4 linked regions of the Coturnix japonica genome follow. The protein of the gene in region 4 purifies or fractionates together with the protein of the main gene of each other region. This does not show direct contact. Links are inferred from orthologs where the notes say so. Each region holds a gene or a part of one and is shown on either strand. Other genes may lie near its edges.

Region 1 (5,081 bases), on a different chromosome or scaffold from region 4:
GGCAGACACAAACAGCTCCAGTCCCAGAGGTCTGCTGAGGCTGGATGTAATTCTGGTCTGGGCTCCAGTGGATGGGAAGTGCTGATGTCAACCCAGAGAACACTGAGGAAAGGACACTCATCCATGAGAAGCAAAGTTGGAAAATTGTTCTATAAGAACAAAGGGCAGGGAGCTCTGCGTGGGGCCGCGCCGCCACCTGGCGGGGACGTGCGGGGCTGCATCTGCTCGAGCGGCTGGGGGCTGGATTGGGATTTCCATTCTAGCTTTAACATCAGCAGCTCCCCATGTCAAACAGGATCTCTAATAATTAAAGTAGCCCCATAAAACATTGCAAAAAAAGTGAGGAACGGTTTGAATTCCTTCTGCTAATATGAAGACATATCAACCAATGCATTATACTAGAAATTAGGCTGCCAACAATAGCCGTTCATCTACTAGCAACCACAAGTGAACAGGAAGCAGAGGAGTATCCAAAACACTCCATTGAGGCTGAATAAGGAAACTACCACTTAGTTTTAATTTAAAACCCAGAAGCCACTGACCATCACTACTTCATACTAAAGCCCCAGAGAAATCCTAGTAGCAATTGGATGGACCAGTATGATAGAAAAAGCATTACAAAAGAGATGCAATGATAAAAGGACCAACACAGTAGAAAGGTGCTATAAAGTAAGAGAAGATTGCTCACCTGTATCAGAAAATTCTAGGTTTGCAGCATAAAGCTTCACTAAGGAGAGATCTCCAGGAAAAAACCCTTTACTAGCAGCAGTCAGCCCTTAAATAAGGTCTAAGAGAGGTGCAGGCAGGCTGCATCCCCTCCAGGCACACAGCTGAATTGCCTTCACCTGTGCTCCCAGGGCTGACCAGTCCTTTCCCCAGCTGTTCAATCAGTGGTTCAGGCCGTGACTCAACACTTACCATACAGTCCTGAAAAACACAGATAACCAACAGCCAGCCAAAGCATTGGCAATATGACCATGAGAAATGGCAGAGAGGGAGTTCCATGAACACAGTGAGAGCTGGAGACACAGACCTGATGTTCCAAGCAGGAAAAGAGACTTCCATTCTTTGATACCAACAGATTCAGAAAATCAGTCTTGCTATTCTTTTTCCTAATTATGCTTATCTACATGAAATGCATATTTTATTTTACCTGTAATTCAATGCAATATTTTTAATGTACTCTAAGGGGTTTTTCGCCTCTCAACAAGAAATTATGTTTATTCCCATTGCACAAGCAAGATGAGACGATAGCTACTGATATAGAAATTATATATCAGCTGTGAAGATGCAGCCGACATAACAGCACATGCAAAAGTAATGGCTCAGTGACGTGTAAGGGCTGTAAAAAGAAATCACACCAGAGAATCACAGAATTGTAGGGGTTGGAAGGGACCTCTAGAGATCATCGAGTCCAACCCCCTGCCAAAGCAGGCTCCTACACCACGTCACACAGGTAGCACAGCTCTGCCTTTGGCAGACAGGAGCTCAGCGCTGCGCCAGCCCATGAGGGGGCGGATGCTCACGGAAGTGGCGTATGTGACAGGCGTTCCGATCAGCCAATTGTCGTGGCCGAGGTCTCTCCCCTTTCTCTTCGCAAAATGGCGGCTCCTGCTCCCGCTGTGGCTCCGGTCCCTCCCGCTGCCGCCCCGGCTCCCAGCCCCACGGCTGCTCCCACTACACCCACGGCGGCCGCGCCCCCTCCGCCCTCAGCCCCGGCGGCACCGCCGCCCTCCGCCCCGCTGTCCGCCGCGCTCTCGGGTCCTTTCCCCGGCGGCCGCGTGGTGCGGCTGCACCCGGTGGTGCTGGCCTCCATCGTGGACAGCTTCGAGCGGCGCAACGAGGGCGCGGCGCGGGTCATCGGGACCCTGCTGGGTAAGAGCCGCAATGCCGCAGCCCCCACTGATACCGCCCCACTGATACCGCCCCACTGATACCGCCCCACTAAGACCAATACCGCCCCACTAACCGCTGTCGTCCCGCAGGCACCGTGGACAAGCACTCGGTGGAGGTCACCAACTGCTTCTCCGTCCCGCACAACGAGTCCGAGGATGAGGTACGGTGTGGGGGCTATGGGGGATGTGCCATCGGGGCTCCTGCACCCGCTGACTCGGCTCTGTCCCCTTCCCCAGGTGGCTGTTGATATGGAGTTTGCCAAAAACATGTACGAGCTGCACAAAAAGGTGTCTCCCAGTGAGATCATCCTGGGCTGGTGAGTTCTATGGCCACAGGGAAGTGCGGGCAGTTGTGCAGGTCCCTCAGATACCTCAGATCTGTCATTGCTGTCAGAGGCTGGAAAGCAGAAGCAGCAGTGAAGTCGTGCCATCACTCAGGATAGGAAAGGATGCTGTCGCAGACTTAGAGCGTTTTTGGTTAGTCTAGAAGAGCTGTCACAGACAGGAGGGTTGGGAATGCTCATGGATCTATTAGAATGCAGTGATACAGTCTGTAAGGTAACTAGCTGGAGGGAGAACACAAAAGTACCAAAGGGCTGGTGGGAAACGGTGATGTTAGCCTGAACACAAGGGTGTTCTCTGAGTAAAGGTGGAAATACCTGTGATGGGGTGTTACAGGAAAAGAACTCGTTTGTGCACGGATAACTGGCCTCGTTTGTCTATTGACATCCTCTCTGGCCCCTTTCTATGGAACAAAATCCTACAAGCGCAGAACTCTTGGCTTCCTCAACAACCCATCATGGCACAGCAAGGTGCAGTTCTCATGGCAGTCGCTTTCCTGTGCATGCAAGAAGTTAATTGCGGAGCAATTGAAGGAGCGAGATGAACAAGCCCTGCCTCCTGCACAGGGGTGTTTAATTTGTTTAAGATTTACTTTGCTGGTCCAAATTTGCTTGGCATGCTTTGATTTATAAGGAAATAAAGATTTGGCCCAGAGCATAGTGACAAAAAACTGACTCTTTTTGATGGTAATACAACACTGACCCTGTGCATGTTTTGGGCATGTGTGCACTCAGCCTATAATTCTAGGAGAGCCATAAAACTACACATGACCTAGTTATAATACTAGTCTTTACTATGTGTCTGCAACTCAGTGCTTGGACATCAGGGTTTTAGAATACAGACCTGTTAAATACCAACAAATACTGGGCATTTGAACATTAGAAGAGTGGTCTTTCAACATTTGCTTTTTCCAAGGTACGCAACAGGTCACGACATCACAGAACATTCTGTCCTGATCCACGAGTACTACAGCCGGGAAGCACACAATCCAATCCACCTCACTGTGGACACAAGTCTCCAGAACTCACGCATGAGCATTAAAGCCTATGTCAGGTACATGGGGACAGGAACTGTCTGAATTACTAACAGATATTGTATCAGGATGGCACCTACAGCTTGATAGTGTTGCTTAGAGCCCTATCCAGCCTCGAATGCCTACGGGAATGGGGCATCCACCACATGTCTGGGCAACCTGTGCCAGTGCCTCACCACCCCTATTTTAAAAATGTTCTCTTTTTGTCCAATGTAAATCTCCCCTCTTTTAGTTTGAAACCATTTCCCCTTGTCCTATCACAACAGACTCTGCTGAAGAGTCTGCCCCCCTTCCTTCATATAGCTTCCCCTTTAGATATTGAAAGGACACACTCAGGTCACCTCACACCATTCTCCAGGCTACACAGCCCCAGCTCTCAGCCTGTCCACGTAGCAGAGTTGTTTCATCCCTGGGATCCTATTTGTGGCCCTCCTCTGGATGCACTCTAATAGGTCCATGTTTCTCCTGTGCTGAGGACTCTGCATCTGGATGCAGTACTCCAGGTGAGGCCTCACCAGAGCAGAGGGGCAAGATCACATCCCACTCCCCGCTGGCCACGTTTCAGGATACAGTTGGCTCTCTGGGCTGCAAAGCATGTTGCTGGCTTGTGTCCAGCTTAACATCCATGAGTTCCCCCAGGTCCTTTTTGGCAGGGCTGTGCTCCATCCTTACATCCCCCAGGTTATACTGATAGCAGGGGTTATCACGACCCAGGTGCACTTGGATTTATCAAACCTCATGAGGTTTACCTGGGCACACTGCTTGAGTCTGCCTAGGTCTCTTCAAATGGCATTTTATCCCTCAGACATGTCAGCTTCACCAAGAAGACAGTACTGAACTCATCATGCGCTTGTACTGATAAATGTCAGACCAGCTAGGAATATTTTTGGATGAAAATTTGCAGTTAATAATATACCTGTATTGATTTCCTGTCCTTGGTTATACATGGTATTAATATTGCTGATTTTACTGACAGTGAGTAACCTATTCGTGTTCACACTGTAGTGCTAATAAAGATCATTGAGATGGAAAATTATTTCCTTTCAGATGTGTCCATGCTGAATTTATGTGTTTTTCCTAGTGCCCCAATGGGAGTCCCTGGTAAAACTATGGGCGTGATGTTCACACCACTGACAGTGAAGTATGTTTATTACGACACAGAGCGGATAGGAGGTGAATGCTTTATTCCTATTTTGGGTCTAACCATTGTCGTGATACTGTTCAAATGCTGTTTGGTTATTAAGCCTGGTAAAATTACCACTCTGGGGGGGAATTAAACTGTCTCACTGAACCTGATGCTATCCTAGAGAGTATTGAACAAGTTAAAGTTTTAAGCTGCTTTCTGTGTCAGTCGGATTTCTCAGTGATCCTGGTTTTGCTTTCAGTGGATCTCATCATGAAGACCTGCTTTAGCCCTAATCGAGTGATCGGCTTGTCCAGTGACTTACAGCAGGTGGGGTCAGCCTCAGCCAGGATTCAGGACACCCTGGGTATGGTGCTACAGTATGCAGAGGATGTACTGGTAAGGCAGACTTTATATGAGACTGAAGATAAGTTTGACATAAGATTATGCATCTGTTTTTATGTTTTTATTACTGAGTTTTACTCATGCTGAAGTGTGTTTCTTATGCATAGTCTGGCAAAGTGGCTGCCGACAACACCGTTGGGCGTTTCCTGATGGATCTTATTAACCAGGTGCCAAAGATTTCACCAGAGGACTTTGAGACGATGTTGAACAGCAATATTAATGTGAGTTCATTGTCTGATTTCTAAGCGTATTGCCAGCAATTTTGAAAATATCATACAGACAC
Region 2 (4,601 bases), on a different chromosome or scaffold from region 4:
GGAGAGACTGGGAGGATCTTACTGTCCAGCCTTGTGAGCTAGAACTGGGCTCAAAAAAAAATCCTCTCTTTGAATTTCGTGTCATGTCTTACAACATCCTTGCCCAGGACCTGGTGGAACAGGGCCATGGTCTTTACCTGCACTGTCATCCAGACATCCTGAACTGGGACTACCGCCTTCCAAATATTTTGCAGGAGATCCAGCATTGGGACCCTGATGTAAGTATGACTTAAGCACCGTACACGTTACTATCACCAGAATTTGAATGTTTTGTTTGATCTAATTGCATTGCAGCAGGTTTTTTCCCTTCCTTTTTTTAAGGTTGAGGAAAGCAGTAGGAAGATGCTGCCTACTTGCTGGCTGAGTGCTGATTCCTCTGAGGCTATGAGGCCTTGTGTGTGCATTTTTGTTTTGCTGCCTATTTTGTCTTGAGTGTGTTCTTGTAGCATGTAGCAATACTTTGCTAACAGGTTAACTTCATAAACAGCTGATGTGGAGGAAGAAGAGTGAAAATTACAAAACCATGACATATGTTTCTTGGGGGAAGGTTTATATGGCAGCACAGGAGATGGGGCTCACATAAGAGAGGACTTCAGAACTTTCTCTATTCTTTGAGCTGTCTTTGCGTGTTGAAGGAACTTTTGCCTCATCGCTGAATGACTGAGTGATAAACTAATGTGACCCAGAAAGTTATCACTCTCTAGATGGGAATTACAGGACAGAATTGCAATCATGGCCTTTCTGTTGCAGGGTTAGTATGCGAGTATACTTTTGCACTTCCTTCCTTCCCTGAAACAAGGTAACTGGCAAATACTGTAGGAGCGAGTGAGGTCTCTGACTTCCTTCCAGGTTCTGTGTCTGCAGGAGGTGCAAGACAACCATTACAGGGAGCAGCTAGAACCAACGCTCGCGAAGATGGGTATGTCCTGCTTTTATCTCTGTATTTCCAGCTCATGGTACTGGCTGACCAGTGCTTCCCACTTAATGTCTTTAAAGCATTCAGTCTTGAAAGAACTTTTCTTCCTTTTTATTTGAGCTGCTGGCCTTACTTCTGAACCACCTGCCTAGACTTTTACCCTTTCGTTTGCAACTGACTTTTCAGTTTGAGAGATCAGAGTAATAAATCTCTCCCTGTCCTTCTAGAACAGAGAAAAGACATGGTTATGAATTATAGGCAGTGATTACTGAGACAGAATTGAGTATAATGCTGCACCCAGAGCATTACAACTGTATGTTAGAATTATTAAGAGTAACTGTATATAACTAGGCGTAACTGTATGGTAGAAAGCATTGCACCTGAAGGAAGAAAGGTTGGAGTCCATGCTTCCCAAGCAGTGAGTCTTATGTGCCCCAGCACTGCTTATTGCTAGAGGGAGCTGAGGCCTTAAGGAATGCTGATAAGGGATGTAAAGTGTTATGTTACTAAGCAACCAGTGCTTTACAAGTAGGGTTGCTTACTGGCAGATGATGACTGATTTTATATATATACTTTTTTTCTTTAGAGCCTAGATCTGTTATAGAAAGCAGGCTGAAAATTAACACAATAGGAATGCATAGGGGTTGGATAAGTAATCCTTCTGTACAGGGTACTGTTAGTATGCTACTGGCTACTGTTAGCATAGCAGACTTCTACAAGTCTACTATACTTACTTGCTGAACTTGAATGGAAAGAGATCCTGAGGTAGCAGCCAGTAGCTTTTTAATGAGTGATGGTTTCTCTTCAGGCTTTGCTTGCTTCTATAAACGGAGGACTGGGAGGAAGACTGATGGCTGCGCAGTGTGCTATAAGCAAAGCAGATTCCAGCTGATCACCGTCAGCCCCATCGAGTATTTCCGGCCTGGCCTAGATGTCCTCAATCGGGATAATGTGGGTTTGGTGCTTCTGCTGCAGCCCCTGCTCCCAGAGGGTCTTGATCTGAAGGCAGTCAGTCCTTTGTGCATCGCCAACACACACGTGTTGTTCAATCCCCGTCGGGGAGATATCAAACTTGCGCAGATGGCCTTGCTCCTAGCAGAGATTGACAAGATTGCAAAAACTGCTGAAGGTCAGTACTATCCTGTCATCTTGTGTGGCGACCTGAACTCTGTACCTGACTCTCCGCTTTACACATTCATCCGGAATGGTGAACTTTTCTACCAGGGATTGCCAGCCTGGAAGGTAGGTGCCGGGCAGGACTGGGCTTGGGTGGCTCTTTACTGCTTGCTGCTGATAAAAGCATGGCTGTATTCTTCCTCTTAAAATAAAAAGTCGCAGTATTAAACTTAATTATTCAGGACTCATCCCCAGTGCCTCCAGCAGTGCTGAGGAAAGAAGCAGACAAATGTGTACACGTTGCTTCCAACACTGCTTTTTTTTTGTTTCTTTTGAGCCAGACCAGTGATAACAGTTACTTCATTCCACATCCTGGTTTTCCCTTGTTGTGGAGTTTTTGTTGCTGGGTGACTGGAAGTGTAGGGGAGCAGAACTCCACCAAGGCAACCTGAAATTTTTGTAGGTGTTTGATATGAAACCAGTTTTGCCCATGAAATGGTTACCTATGCTGGGCTCTTCAAGTGGCTACCTATTAGTTTATATCCATGCTTATTTATGTCTTCGGCTTTCGAGCAAAATTATCAATTCAATAACATATGTCCACAAAGTATGTTTGGTATGGTGACTTCTAGTTAATTGAATCCGTGTCCCACTGCACTGCCACTGTGTGGGCACTTTCCTGTTTTGTTCTTGGTGAGTGTGTATACATACACTGTCTATATCATGCAGAAGTTCTGCTGTGTGTTGCTAACATTTTCCTCTCCTGATTCTTGCCTCCTTGCAGGTGTCTGGTCAGGAAGACCTTTCCCAACAGCTGCATTGTCGGAAACTGCTGTCCCCGCTGTGGCCGAGCTCACTGGGTGTAACAGACAATTGCCAATATGTTTCTGTGTGCCAGCCAAAGAAAAAGGGTGAGCTCTAGTGTGCACTGAGCGTATGAGCTTGCTATGGATTCAGAGTCTGTAGACCTTGCTGTCTCCCAGAGTAGCCAATGCATGCGTCATATGATGCAGTCAGCAACAAATTCTATGCTTATATCCTTTTCCTTGGTATTTGAATTAAATTCAGTTTTTCTGGAATCCTGTAGCCCAGTATCTGCAGTCATATTTCTCTAGCCAGCAGCAGAGAATTCCAGGTAACCATTGCTCTACACAGCTTTTATATTCCCAGACTTAAGCTCTTGTGCAGTTATAAACAGTGTTTGGTATCCATAGCTTTCAACTGCAGGTGTTTGTAAGAGCAATTTTGGGTAGTGATTGAATACCAGTATTAGAAAGTGCCAGGGGGCCACTTTAAAACAGTAATTGTCCTTTACTGTTTCTAAAGCAGATTCTAAAAAAGGAGGCACACTAAATAGTTTTTGTTGGAAGTCTGAACATAAAATTTGTATTCAAACTGATTTGCAGCGCTGTTCTTTCTTTTTAGGCAGACTTGAGTTTCCTTATGTTGGGAGCACACTGATCTGCTTAAAAATCTCTTACACTTACAGTGCTTCAGCGGGAACGTTCTTAATTTGTCTCATCAGGCACTGACCATGATGGATGCATTGGCTAAAGGAATAGAACAGAGCACAGTTCCTGCTGTGTTTAGGTCATTAAGTGATTCCTGTTCTCATGGTGTAAGGGTTCTTGGTATTAGACTTGCTGTAAATGTGACTTTGCTACAGATGTTTTATCGTCTTAAATTGTATTTCTGTCTGCAGGCCGACGTAAGTACAGCCGGGACTTCCTGCTCCAGTTCCAGTTTTGTGATGTTGCCTGTGAACGACCACCAGAGCTGGTCTTCTTGGAAGGTGTGACAGATGCTAAACCAGGTATTAAGGGGTAGTTTTTGAGCTCACGACTCTCCCAGCTGTATAGTGATGAAAAACTGTTGGAGGTAATACCTCGTACAAAAAGGGAAGTCAGAAGGATAGCTTTCTGTGGCTGTGTGATTATTAATGGATTCCATGAGAGATCAGAGCATAGTCTTACTGCAGCACTGACAGTGTTTCTTGAGGCATGCTGGGTTTCAGACTCTTCTGAAGGCCGATTTAAGATTATTGTTGCAGGAGAACAAACCTTAAGATCATAACATCACGATGGCTGCGACATTGATGTCTCTGGATGCTGATACCCAGTAGACAGTACCTCACCCCATGCTTTGTTCCATAACTGGTTCTAATCTCTCCGTTTCTATTCTGCCTTTTTAAAGTTATACCCTTTGTATAAGCTGTAGGCTAAGGCAAATGAACTTTCTGCAAGAGTATAGGTTGAACTAGCCTGGGCTTTGATAGTATAAAATACTTTAAAGACATGTCCTTATTTGGACAGAATATGGCTATAGTGCTCTCAGAATGCTCCTGTTAGTCTTAGCTGGGGTTTCCTTTGAATGTTTTTCTTTGACATGGCTTTGGCTGGAAGCTATCTGTTCTCTGTGGGCAAAAGGACTTACTTTTGTCTCAGGAGAAGTTTTTCAGACTTGGAACAAGCAGCCTGTTCCAGTATCTGTGTACATCTGTCTGGAATCTTTTCTACTCCTTTGCAGACCCCCCTCCATACTGGCCCAAGCACACTGCTCCAGTGAATGA
Region 3 (5,347 bases), on a different chromosome or scaffold from region 4:
TACATCTTTTCTTTCTCAGATTATTACAGAACGAGTCCGTTTGTGCTTCTTTGTCTTTCAGCAGAATGGTGAAAGTCCTCTCCAGTCATAAAATCCTCCTTCCCGCAGTCCTGGGACAGCGCAAGCCGAGTTCGGCTCCGTGCCTGCGGGCTGTCAGCGTGTGGCACTGTGGAAGCCTTTGTCGCCCTCGATGTCCACCTCCTGGTCGGAGTCATCGGAGACGTCGGACTCGGGGTCCTCCTGCGAGGCAGCCGAGGGGCTGTCCTGCGGCTCGGCCTCGCCCCCCCTCGCGGGGCTGGGGCTGCCCTCCGGCCGCGGTTCGCCGTGATCGTCGGTGCCTTCCACCTCCTCCTTTTTGGTGGCCTGGGGGTTCTCCTGCGGGGACAGAAAGACGCTGGGTACGGAGCTACAGGAAAACACCGCGGGGTTCTGTGAAGAAAGGGCTGAGCCCTACGGGCTGACTGCTCTTTAGCAAAGCAAATGTTTGGAGCGAGGCTCCAGACACGGCCTAGACCTCTCCCCAATTACACGGCAATCCCCGTGGCAAAAGGAAGGAGACTGAATTCATCAGTGGCTCAAAAGTTAACGGAAAGAAAAATGTAATTAAGCTCTAAGGATTAACCTCAACATGGAAACACGCTATTAAAAAATAAATCGAACCGAAGTCCATTGCCGAGAGCAAGAGCCCGCATGCCCACATTGGGGGAAGTGGGTGGAGATGCGTGGCACTGCTGAACGGTGTGTGGGGACGTGTATGGGGTCACAGCATGGAGGGGGCGGCTTTGGGGCCGGGAGCTGCTAGCACCGCCGATGGACTTTGCCACAGACCAGCACCGAGTGAAGGAGAAAGGGGATCTGAGCCGAGGTGCAGTAGACATTAGACAAAGCCGCAGAACAAATATTCTGCGTGCCCGAACCAGGCCACGACTGGGATTTTTTCCCAAACGTTTGAGCCGAGGGCACCGTCTGAGCTAGGCCATAAAAACAGAGCTCTGCCCTTCTGCACAGTCCATAAGGCGGAGGAACGGCGCAGCGCCCCGCATCGGGACCGCCCGTAAAGCACCGTGGATCTCCCTGAGCTGCCCCCGACGGGGGGTTGGGGTGGGGGAGTCTCTGAAAGCGCCGTGACCGTCCCCTCCGACCCCACCGTCGGAGCGGTTCACCGTCGCTCGCTTATCTCCCCAGCGCTAATTGGCTAAACAACATATGGGTTTACAAAACAATTAGCGCCGAGTTGCAACGGGCGCGGTGTGAGGGCCGCCCGGCATTGACCCGGAGCCGCATTAGGAGCTTTTAGCATTAGTGCTGCCCGAGCGAGTCCCGTCGGGCCGCGGCGCGGTGTTTGCCGTTTTAATCAAGGTGAAGAGGTTAAACAGTGCCGGATGAGTGCTGCACACATCCCGCACCGGGCGCCGCGCCGAGATAACGCCATTAAACCCGTATTGCTATAGAAACGGAACCATCCCGTACCTGCTTCAGGCGCCTCCATTTGGCTCTGCGGTTCTGGAACCACGTTTTGACCTACGGCGAGAGAGAAAGCTATAGAGTAACACCGGTGGGGCCGCAGGGACCCCCCCCGCCCCCCCAGCCGCGGTGAGCGGGGCAGGGCCTCACCTGGCGCTCGCTGAGCTGCAGCAGCTTGGCCAGGCGCTTCCTCTCGGGTGGGGAGAGGTATTTCTGGGTCTCGAACTTCTTCTCCAGCTCGATGGTCTGCTCGTTAGAGAAGCGCACCTGCCCGCCCTTCCTCTTATGCAGCGGCCGCTGGATGAAGGGGCTCCATAGCAGCGGCTTTCCTTCGGGGAGAAAGGGGCAGCGCCGTCACCGCCAGTCCCGGCCCCCAGCCCCGCTCCCGGCCCCAACTTTCTCTCCGATTTCTCGGCCCCGCGGAGCAGAATGTGCTCAGAGCCGCTCCACGGGCTCTGGCAGCGTTTCCGTCAATGTGTTTCCTGTTGGTCTATCGCGCAAAGAAAATACAGGGTAGAGAAAAAAGCAAAAAAAAAAAAAAAAGCCCTTCGCTTCCTTCTGCTCCTTCACTGCCGCGTGTCCCCTCCGCAGCAGCTCCCACCGGGACGGCCCGGACCCCGCGCTGCGCTACAGCCCAGTGCCCGCGGGGCGCCCCCGGGAGTCGGTCCCGGCCCGGGGTCGTTGGCCGTGGCCGAGGTATCGCTGCCGTCCCCCCCGTCCGCCGCCCGCAGCCTTTGAAATTCGCTGCATTGTTTTTCAAGATTTTTGCTTGCGTCAGGCTTTAGTAATTCTGGTGCAAAACAGCCTCAAAAAAATAGGAAGCAACTGGTTATTTTAGCTGTCATAAAGGCACATCCCACACAGAGGAAATGAACAATATCAGAAAAACGGATCCCGGCTATCAGAAGCCGAGTGTTTCCTGAATTTGTCTGTATTGAGGATGTCGATAAAGTAATCAGCGCCGTGCACGACTCCCGGGGAAGAGCCTGCTCCGGGCGGCCAGGAAAACACTTAACAGCTTCTGAAACCAGATTTACTCCTATCGAGAGCTCAAGGTTTCCTGTATGAACGGAAAGGGTCAGGCTCCTTCGCTGCTGCGGTGCGGTGACTCAGGGCTCGTTTTGCAATCACTGAGGGCAGCGCGGGCCCCGCACCGGGACAGAACGGCCCCCCCCGACCCCCGCCCTCGAGCCGCGGAGCCGGAGCGGGGCCGGTGCGGGCGGCACTGGGACCCGTCGGCAGGAAAAGGCCGCGATCTGTCGCGCGATCTCTCGGCACAATTAAAACTCCCCACCAAAACCACACGCGACATTACTAAGGACACTCCGAGAGGCGCTCGGTTGAAGGAAAACAAATCTGAGTCACCGCGGCCGCGCACTGCGGTCTCACTCCCAACGCGGAGCTGCCCTGAATTTACTGTAAAGCGGGCGGGGGCCGAGGGGGCCGGGGGCTGAGCTCCGCCGCTTCCCCGACGGCGGCACGGGACGGAACGAGACGGAACGGGACGGGACGGGCGGGGCGAGGGGACCGCGGCTTACCCAGGGAGTCCTGGCGGATCAGTGCGTGCGTGTAGTCGCCGACGGCGCGAGGAAAGGAGTAAAGGGGCCCGGCGTAAGCGCCGGTGCCGTAGGTGGCGGCGAGGTGGTGGGAGAAGGCCGGGTGGATGGGGGTCGGCTCGTAGACGGGGGTCCGGTACGGGGCCACCAGGCTGGTGAAGGAAGAGTTGGGCGACGGCAGCGTCGGCGGCGGCGGGGCGGGCAGGGAGTGGGGGGCCGGAGCGGCGGCGGGGCCGCGGCCCAGGATGTCCTCGATGTAGAAGGGCGTGGGGTGCGCGGGCTGCAGCAGCGGCGTGGGCGCGTACAGCGGGACGCCGACGCCCAGGGCCGCCGCCGGAGCCGCGCCCGGCGCCTGGTACTGCATGGCCCGGCCCCCGCGGCCCGGCCGCCCCTCGGAGAGCGGCCCCGAGCGCGGCCGCCGGCTGCTGCCACCGCCGCGGCGGGTTTCTCCGGGCTCGGGTTCCCCTCCGATAGGTTTCTATCGGCGCGGGGCGGAGCCCGCGTGGTCTCTGTCCCCTTCCTGCCGCGGCTCCGTCTAGCCAATGAGCCCGGCCAGGGAAGGGGGAAACCACCCCCGCCGGCGAAAGCTCCCCCCCGCCTCCCCCGAGCGGACTCCCCGCGGCGCCAATCAACGCGAACCGGGTCCCGATGGCACCGAGCGGGCACCTGGGGGGGCGGGCGAGGGGGCGCGTTCCTCAGGCACCGGGCCCGGATTTCGGGCGTCCCGAGGGGCGATCCCCTCCACCCCGCCCCGCAGCCCGGTCCGGCTCTGGGTAACAGAGGGGACGGACGGGGTTGTGCGGGCCCGCGGACGCGGTACCCCTCGGGCACCTACTGCCGCTGAATGAGAGGTAGCGGCGGCGGAGCCCCGGACAGGACGGACGCGCCGCTGGGAGCGGCTCCTGGCGCTCCGGAGGGAGGGAGGCGATGCGAGGCGGCCGCTCGCCCTCCTTCGGCAGCTCCAAACCCCGCAGAACCGTCCCCGCCGGCCAGGGGAGCGCCCGACGTGGGAGCAGGGCGGCAGCAGGTGTCCTCCTCCCTCCGCGTGGTGACAGCCAGCGCAGAGAGCTGCTAAGGAACAGCAGGTGCTGCTTTTATACACACACACACACACATATATATATATTTTTTTTTTTTTTTTTTTTTTTTTCCCCCCAAACCCACGACGTTCTTAATAAGTAAGAGACTGGGAACGAGACGAAAGGGTGTTGTGGAAATGGAAATATATGTATTTTTAATAATATCAGGAGGTTGGATTTTTTTCTTTATGTTGTTAACAAATGCCAAAACTCACCTTTAAAGCGCGGTCTTGTGTCTTGTAAATATCAGGTACACGTCAAGCGGGCTGACAGTTCTGATTATTTTTTCTCTCCGCTCCCGGTCTCCGAGGCATTGCTCCGTCCAAGGGGGTTGCTTAGCTCATGGTTGGGCTGGAAGTGTTGGATTTGCAGCTCGGAGCACTTAATGGGGGCGCAGAAGGCGCTGACCCGCTGCCCTCCGCGGGGCGTTACGGTCTGTGCTTCCCAACGCTGTGGACAAATTTAAGCCAAAAAAAAAAAAAAAAAAAAGGCAAAAATCCTCGTTTTGCTGCATTATTTGAAAACAAATAAATAGAGGAAGAGATTATTCTTTTCTGACTTTTATACCTGCAACAGGCCTTGTTAAAGGGAAGGTTTAATGGCGCAGTTATTACATTCCACTCCCACTGCATAATCCCCAACAAGGAAAATGAAGCACTTAATTTCGCGGCCCCGCAGCACCGCCCCGCTCCGATCCAATTGTTACCCCTTCGCCTTCCTCCTCCCGGCCCGGAGACTATTAAATCGCATTCATGAAAATGTCACATTTATTGAACTACATAATTTTTTAATATCACTAGTGCAGGTTTTATAGTTGATTTTATTGTTTTTACGGCCATTCGGGGCTCTAAAACCCGGATTTTTTCAATGTTGTCCTTATAATTTTTTTCACACAGTCAGAACCAATAAAATAGAGCAGTTGTGACTTTTTAATGCAAGGGGGCTCGGAGTTTCAATATTTTCACTCTGCTGGATACTCAAACCAATAAAAATACATGAGATTTTAATTATTTTCTGGATTAAATCAAACCTTTTTCCTTTCTCTTTGGAACTGCGTTCAGTTGGACTTTCCGTCGGGAGGGATACAGCGCAGCTCCGGACGGAGCGCTGCGGTCCCAACGCTGCGACGAACGCGGAGCGTCCGCGGAGGCACCGAGCGGTCCGCAGCCGCCCTGGACGGGACGTCCGCACCGAGGCTATTTCTGCTCCAGGATCCCTCTGCGGAGCACGGCAGTTCCTCGGAGAGAG
Region 4 (5,159 bases):
GGTTCTCTTAAGACTCTGTGCTGAGTGCGGTGCAGCTCAGTCCCTCTGTCACCTTCCTGGCTTACCCTTCCCTCAAGACTGTAACATCGTACTTCCTTTCTTTTATGAGCAATATTGGCCTGGCTCTGCAAAGTGATTTCAAGGGGAAGAGCTTTAAAAGGTAGATTTCTAGGGGGCTGGAAAGCATTCTAATCACTGTGATTGCAAACAGCAGTCCTCCTAAGTCTCCCTGACAAAAGGGATGCTACGTGAATGTGCATGAATGAACCTACGCTGGAAGCCAGAAAATCCCCTGCTTGCTAACAAATAGCAGGTAAAGCAGAATGGGTGTGTGCAGAGCCTACACCGGGCTCTGTGAAGGGAGCATTTCAGAAGGAAAATGAAATGCCTCTCTAGGAAGGCTCTCTCTGCACTCCTACGGCCTTATTCCAAGGAACCAACATAAGGCTCAAACATACTATTATCCCTCTCGTACTGCTGGGTTTTTATTGTTCATCTGAGCAGGCGGCATTTTATGATCACGAATAGCAGTTGAAAATCTGGGCTCCGCTCTACTGCGGGAGGATATTATTTCTCAAAATAGCCCCACTTAATTTCTGGCCCATTCTGGTGAAAGAGGGGTGCTGCAGCCTTCACTTCTTATCATCTCCCGTGAAACCATTAACAATCTGAGCAGTGGCAGGTCTCATTTTGTGCTCGATTCCCCGCACCCTGCTATTTGCACACAGCAAAGCAGTAGTTTTCTTTCATCTTGGCTGGGATAAATTTCTCAGGACTTGTAATTTATTTAATCAAGGGGTGAGGGGTGGGAAAATACAGCTGCTGTAACCCCCGTATTGTGGTTAGATGTACGCTTCTAACTCGCAGCAGGACAAAGTCAGCTAAAGCACTGGAGCAAAACATCAAGTAGTAAAGCCTTTTGTTTTTTAAATGACAGCCCTTTCACCTTCATCTTCTCTCTTTAAGAGGACCCCACCTCTTGGGATTCTGCCTTTAAAGATATCACCATCTGAGCAAAATAGGATAAAACATGACTGGTCTCCTAGAAGCATAGCTTGCCAGTAAACCAACTCCAGAGTTGTTATGAATAACAGAATCACAGAATTATCGAGGTTGGAAAAGACCTAGAAGATCATCTAGTCCAACCATTACCAATACTTCCCAGCTAAATCATATTCATCAACACAATATCAATACATTTCTTGAACACTCCCATGGCCGGTGACTCCACCACCTCCCTGGGCAGTGCATTCCAATGCCTGACCACCCTTTCTGAGAAGTAATACTTCCTAATGTCCAGCCTGAATCTCCCCTGGCGCAGCTTAAAACCATTCCCTCTAGTTCTATCACTGATTACACGAGAGAAGAGGCCAACCCCCAGCTCACTACAACCTCCCTTCAGGAAGTTATAGAGAGCTATAAGGTCTCCCCTGAGCCTCCTCCAGGCTGAGGGGATGCCATGGGCATCCAGATGTTTAATGTAAGCCTGCCTCTAGTTTCAGACACTTCCAGACCAAGGAAAGGTCTCTGGTCAGACCCAGTCCCTCACCCTCAGCCGTCCCTCCGCTGACCCAGCTCCGCGCTGTTCCCAGCTCCCGTCATTGCCACAGAGCGCAGACCCGTGGCAGCTGTATGCAGCCTTGAGTCCTCCCCTCGTGCTTCCCCTCCGGGCTGAACAAACCCAGGGGCCTCACGTTTATTTACTCACCACCTCTAAACATTCAGCACCACATTAAGCTCCAACCTGCCTGATTCTCTGGGTGGAGAGCGCTTCTCCCTTTGCAGGCCTATAACAAGCAATACCGCCCCTGTATCCCGTTAGAGCCCCTTGTTCCGATCTCCCGTCCTCACCCCGCCCCGTTCCCGCACTATTCCACCAGATGTCCCCTGCCGTCCACCCCGCGTTCCCGCTGCGTCCCGTCGTGCCCCGCGCGTTGCACTACAGCTCCCGGCAGCGCCCGCCCCTCCCCTTCCCAAACGGCCGCGGTGCCCACGTGACCGCCTCGCGGCCAACCGTGTTGGCGGCCGTTTTTTTTCCCTTTCCTTTTTTCCCTTCTCCCTCCCCCGCCCCTTCCCCTCCCGCGGCTGCTGCGGCCACACCGAGCTAAGATGGCGACCGTGGAACCGGTGAGTGCCCGCTTCCCGCTGGCCGCACGCCGCTCGCTCTCTCCCCTCCGCCCGCTCCTTCCCTCCCGCCGCACTCCGCTGTTCTCTCCGCCGTTCCCCGGCGTTGCGGGCCGTGCCTCGCGGTGCCGGGTCGGGGCGGGCAGGGCGGCGGGGCCGGCGCGGAGCGCACGCACGCACGCACGGCGCCGGGGGGAGGGGAGGGCGCGGCGTTGGCCTTTGTGCCGGGCCCGGGGCGGGCGGGGGCCAACGGGAGGTGAGCGGCGGCAGCGGCCGGATTGGGAACAGGACGAGGACGAGGAGGCGGCCGGCGGCGCCGCGTGTGGCGCGCGGGGGTGGCCATGTTGCCGGGCCGGCGCGGCCCGCCGCTAACGGCGGCGCTAACGGGTGAGAGCGGCGCAGGGCGGAGCGGGCGGCACGTCCGTCCTTCCCGGGACGGCGCCTTCCCGCCCCGCAGCCCGCACTAAACTCGGATGGAAGCTTTGCTGGGGACTTGTTCACAACTAAAAACGGCATTTTTTTTCCCCTACGTGTGCTCGTGGTACCGCGCTCTCACAGGCGCCGTTCTTGCCTGCGTTTCTCCGACGAACTGGAGCAGCCGGAGCCGGCCCAGCCCTGCCGCTGCTCTGCTCCCATGCGCCCCGTAGGCCCCGGGTGACCGCCTGGCTGTAGGGCGACGAGGAGAGGCTGAAGGAAGGGAAGGAAGGGCTCTTTGTGGCCGCGGCTTACCGACACTGAGCAGCCGGTGCCTCCTTTGTAGCACTTGGTGTTTAAATCCAACAACCACTTCGCTGTTTTTGAATAAAGATGAATTATACTTTGTAAGGAATAGCAGGACTAGGGGAAATGGTTTTAATATAAAAGAGAGAAGATTTAGGTTCACTAGGAGAGTGGTGAGGCCCTGGAACAGGCTGCCCAGGGAGGTTGTGGATGCCCCGTCCTTGGAGGTGTTCAAGACCAGGTTGAATGGGGCCCTGGGCAACCTGATCTAGTAAATGTGTATGTTTGGTGGCCCTGCCAGGCAGGGGGTTGGAACTACATGATCCTTGAGGTCCCTTCCAACCCGGGTCGTTCTGTGATTCTGTGTAAGGAAGATGGTCCTGTACCCTTTTATGAAGGATGTTGGCTCTCCCAATTTTCTTTTACGAATGAAATAACTGCCTCTATTTACAAGAAGCAATGGTGCTGGTCACTATCTGTACATTTCCTGGCAGTTCTGGGAAGGCAGGGCAGCAGTTGTTAGGACAGTGAGCTGCAGTACTCTGCCCACGGTCACCAGCCGCAGTATTGAGCACTGGGTTTGGTGTCCCATAGACGTGTTTCCAAAGGTGAGAGCTTTGTGTCAGCTCACTGCTTTGGAATGGTTGCTGAGCTTGTCAGGTGTTGGGATAAACAGTGTGTCATATTGATGGCCTCTGGAATGGGAGCTACGCAAAGAGCACAGCTTTGTAACTTCCTTAGCTGTGATACTGGCAAAAGCATGACCATCTCTGAATTGCTCTCCATTGCACAAGTGTGTGATCGCATACTGAACTTGATCTGGGTCCTTACCGAGCCAGATAGAAACAATGGCTTTTGTCACGCCATTTCCCAAAGAGATTGGTTCCCCAGATCCAGCTTGTTGTGTAATGATAAGCAGTTGTGCTGACCCATTGAGGGCGGAGGATGTACCAACACTTAGGACTGTTCAAGCAGCATTGCCACCAAAGGGTCTACTTGCAATGAAGTATGCTTTCCTTCAGGAAACATCAGCTATGCTTGCTTAATTTTAAATGTCTTTAAATAGTTAAACTTTTGTTTATTATTCTTCCAGGTGTCTCACACTTCTACCTAAGCATTGAGTCAAGCCCACATAGTAACAGAGATCTTAGATGCTTGGTGTTGCATAAATACTGCATAATATTCCACAGAACAAATTAATTCTATGGGGATGTTAGGGATTTGATTACCTTGTGATCATAGGGAGCCTCTTTTCCTGTAGACCTTCAAAATCTTGTCTGAGGTTTAGCAGGGTCTTGCTAAAAATTGGTGACGCGCATTCTCAGTAACATATAAGTTCTAGAAATGTTTTATATCATGTTAAGAGGCTGAAAAAACTTTTTGGAACTGTATAGGAGTATTGAGACTTGAGGTGGAGATACTGCGGAGTCTCCAATGGAAACTGGTAAGGAAAGCAGGATTATATATGTGTAAGTCTGTTGTACTGTGGCTTATACTTCCACTGCTTTAAATTTTACCTTAGATGTGATCAGATGACACTGTGCAAAAGTCCACAAAGCCAACAACAAAACAAATAGTAATGCTTTAGTAAACAGTAGTTTACCAAAGGTGACTTTAAAATGTAACCATGGAGGAACAAACATGTGAGTGGGATAAGTTGTGTGGAAGTAATTTGTGTAGGAGCAGTTGGTCCCTTATTGCTCGGATTGGAAACAAATGTTATGATCTTTGGTTTGTTTTGTGACAGCTACTTTTGCACTTGATCAAATGTAGTTCTTAATCTAACTTCACATTTCAAGAGTAAACTCAAGTCATACAGCCTGAGAAACAGTTGTTTGGGCAGAATAGTCAATAAATCAGACTCAAAACTGAGCTGATCTTTCTTTGAATGAAATGATATTACTCCTGAAGGGATATAAACAGTGATATAGGGTCTTGATGTTCTTGGAAGTTCAAAATAGCTCCTCAAATACAAGGTGTGCTGAGAGGTATCAATGACAGAGAGCTAGTGTGTACATTCAGTGCAGGCCAGGTTCAGCTTTAGATTTACTCCTATTACTAGGTATTTCAGCTATAGCCTTGTCCAGCTCTGGTTGAAATCTGTAAAGTGCTCACGTATTGTACAGTAAACATAAATGTATCTTGTGTGCTGTTAAATAATTGAGAGCTCCTAGCACAAGTTGACTTCCTCACTGTAGATTACATTTCTGGTAATACAAAGCCTCCTGTATTAGTTTAAGAGAAGGAATGCGTTGGACATCTTGTAACTGAGATAAACATCTTTCTGAAAGCAGTTTAAGAACAGATACATTTCA

What was found.
Region 1: the proteins of EIF4E (region 4) and EIF3F purify together in Homo sapiens (affinity purification with mass spectrometry; 3 studies listed by BioGRID and IntAct, with this or other methods). This does not show direct contact. The link is inferred for Coturnix japonica from reciprocal best matches to the Homo sapiens genes EIF4E and EIF3F.
Region 2: the proteins of EIF4E (region 4) and ANGEL1 purify together in Homo sapiens (affinity purification with mass spectrometry; 3 studies listed by BioGRID and IntAct, counting the BioPlex papers as one, with this or other methods). This does not show direct contact. The link is inferred for Coturnix japonica from reciprocal best matches to the Homo sapiens genes EIF4E and ANGEL1.
Region 3: the proteins of EIF4E (region 4) and HHEX purify together in Homo sapiens (affinity purification with western blotting; 3 studies listed by BioGRID and IntAct, with this or other methods). This does not show direct contact. The link is inferred for Coturnix japonica from reciprocal best matches to the Homo sapiens genes EIF4E and HHEX.

Annotation. Positions count from the first base shown.
Region 1 is NC_029521.1:13,754,197-13,759,277, reverse strand, and holds the start of EIF3F (eukaryotic translation initiation factor 3 subunit F), read left to right. Parts: upstream 1-1,579; 5' UTR 1,580-1,601; coding exon 1,602-1,875; intron 1,876-1,985; coding exon 1,986-2,056; intron 2,057-2,132; coding exon 2,133-2,212; intron 2,213-3,152; coding exon 3,153-3,290; intron 3,291-4,351; coding exon 4,352-4,443; intron 4,444-4,655; coding exon 4,656-4,792; intron 4,793-4,905; coding exon 4,906-5,019; intron 5,020-5,081. UniProt on the Homo sapiens protein: Component of the eukaryotic translation initiation factor 3 (eIF-3) complex, which is required for several steps in the initiation of protein synthesis.
Region 2 is NC_029520.1:35,258,952-35,263,552, reverse strand, and holds part of ANGEL1 (protein angel homolog 1), read left to right. Parts: coding exon 1-218; intron 219-849; coding exon 850-919; intron 920-1,724; coding exon 1,725-2,158; intron 2,159-2,816; coding exon 2,817-2,943; intron 2,944-3,734; coding exon 3,735-3,845; intron 3,846-4,558; coding exon 4,559-4,601.
Region 3 is NC_029521.1:17,968,966-17,974,312, forward strand, and holds the start of HHEX (hematopoietically-expressed homeobox protein HHEX), read right to left. Parts: upstream 3,400-5,347; 5' UTR 3,385-3,399; coding exon 3,003-3,384; intron 1,794-3,002; coding exon 1,615-1,793; intron 1,522-1,614; coding exon 1,471-1,521; intron 376-1,470; coding exon 154-375; 3' UTR 1-153. Other genes in the region: uncharacterized protein LOC116653610, read left to right, coding at 3,948-4,105, 5,161-5,347. UniProt on the Homo sapiens protein: Recognizes the DNA sequence 5'-ATTAA-3'. Transcriptional repressor. Activator of WNT-mediated transcription in conjunction with CTNNB1.
Region 4 is NC_029519.1:53,886,480-53,891,638, reverse strand, and holds the start of EIF4E (eukaryotic translation initiation factor 4E), read left to right. Parts: upstream 1-2,004; 5' UTR 2,005-2,109; coding exon 2,110-2,127; intron 2,128-5,159. UniProt on the Homo sapiens protein: Acts in the cytoplasm to initiate and regulate protein synthesis and is required in the nucleus for export of a subset of mRNAs from the nucleus to the cytoplasm which promotes processes such as RNA capping, processing and splicing.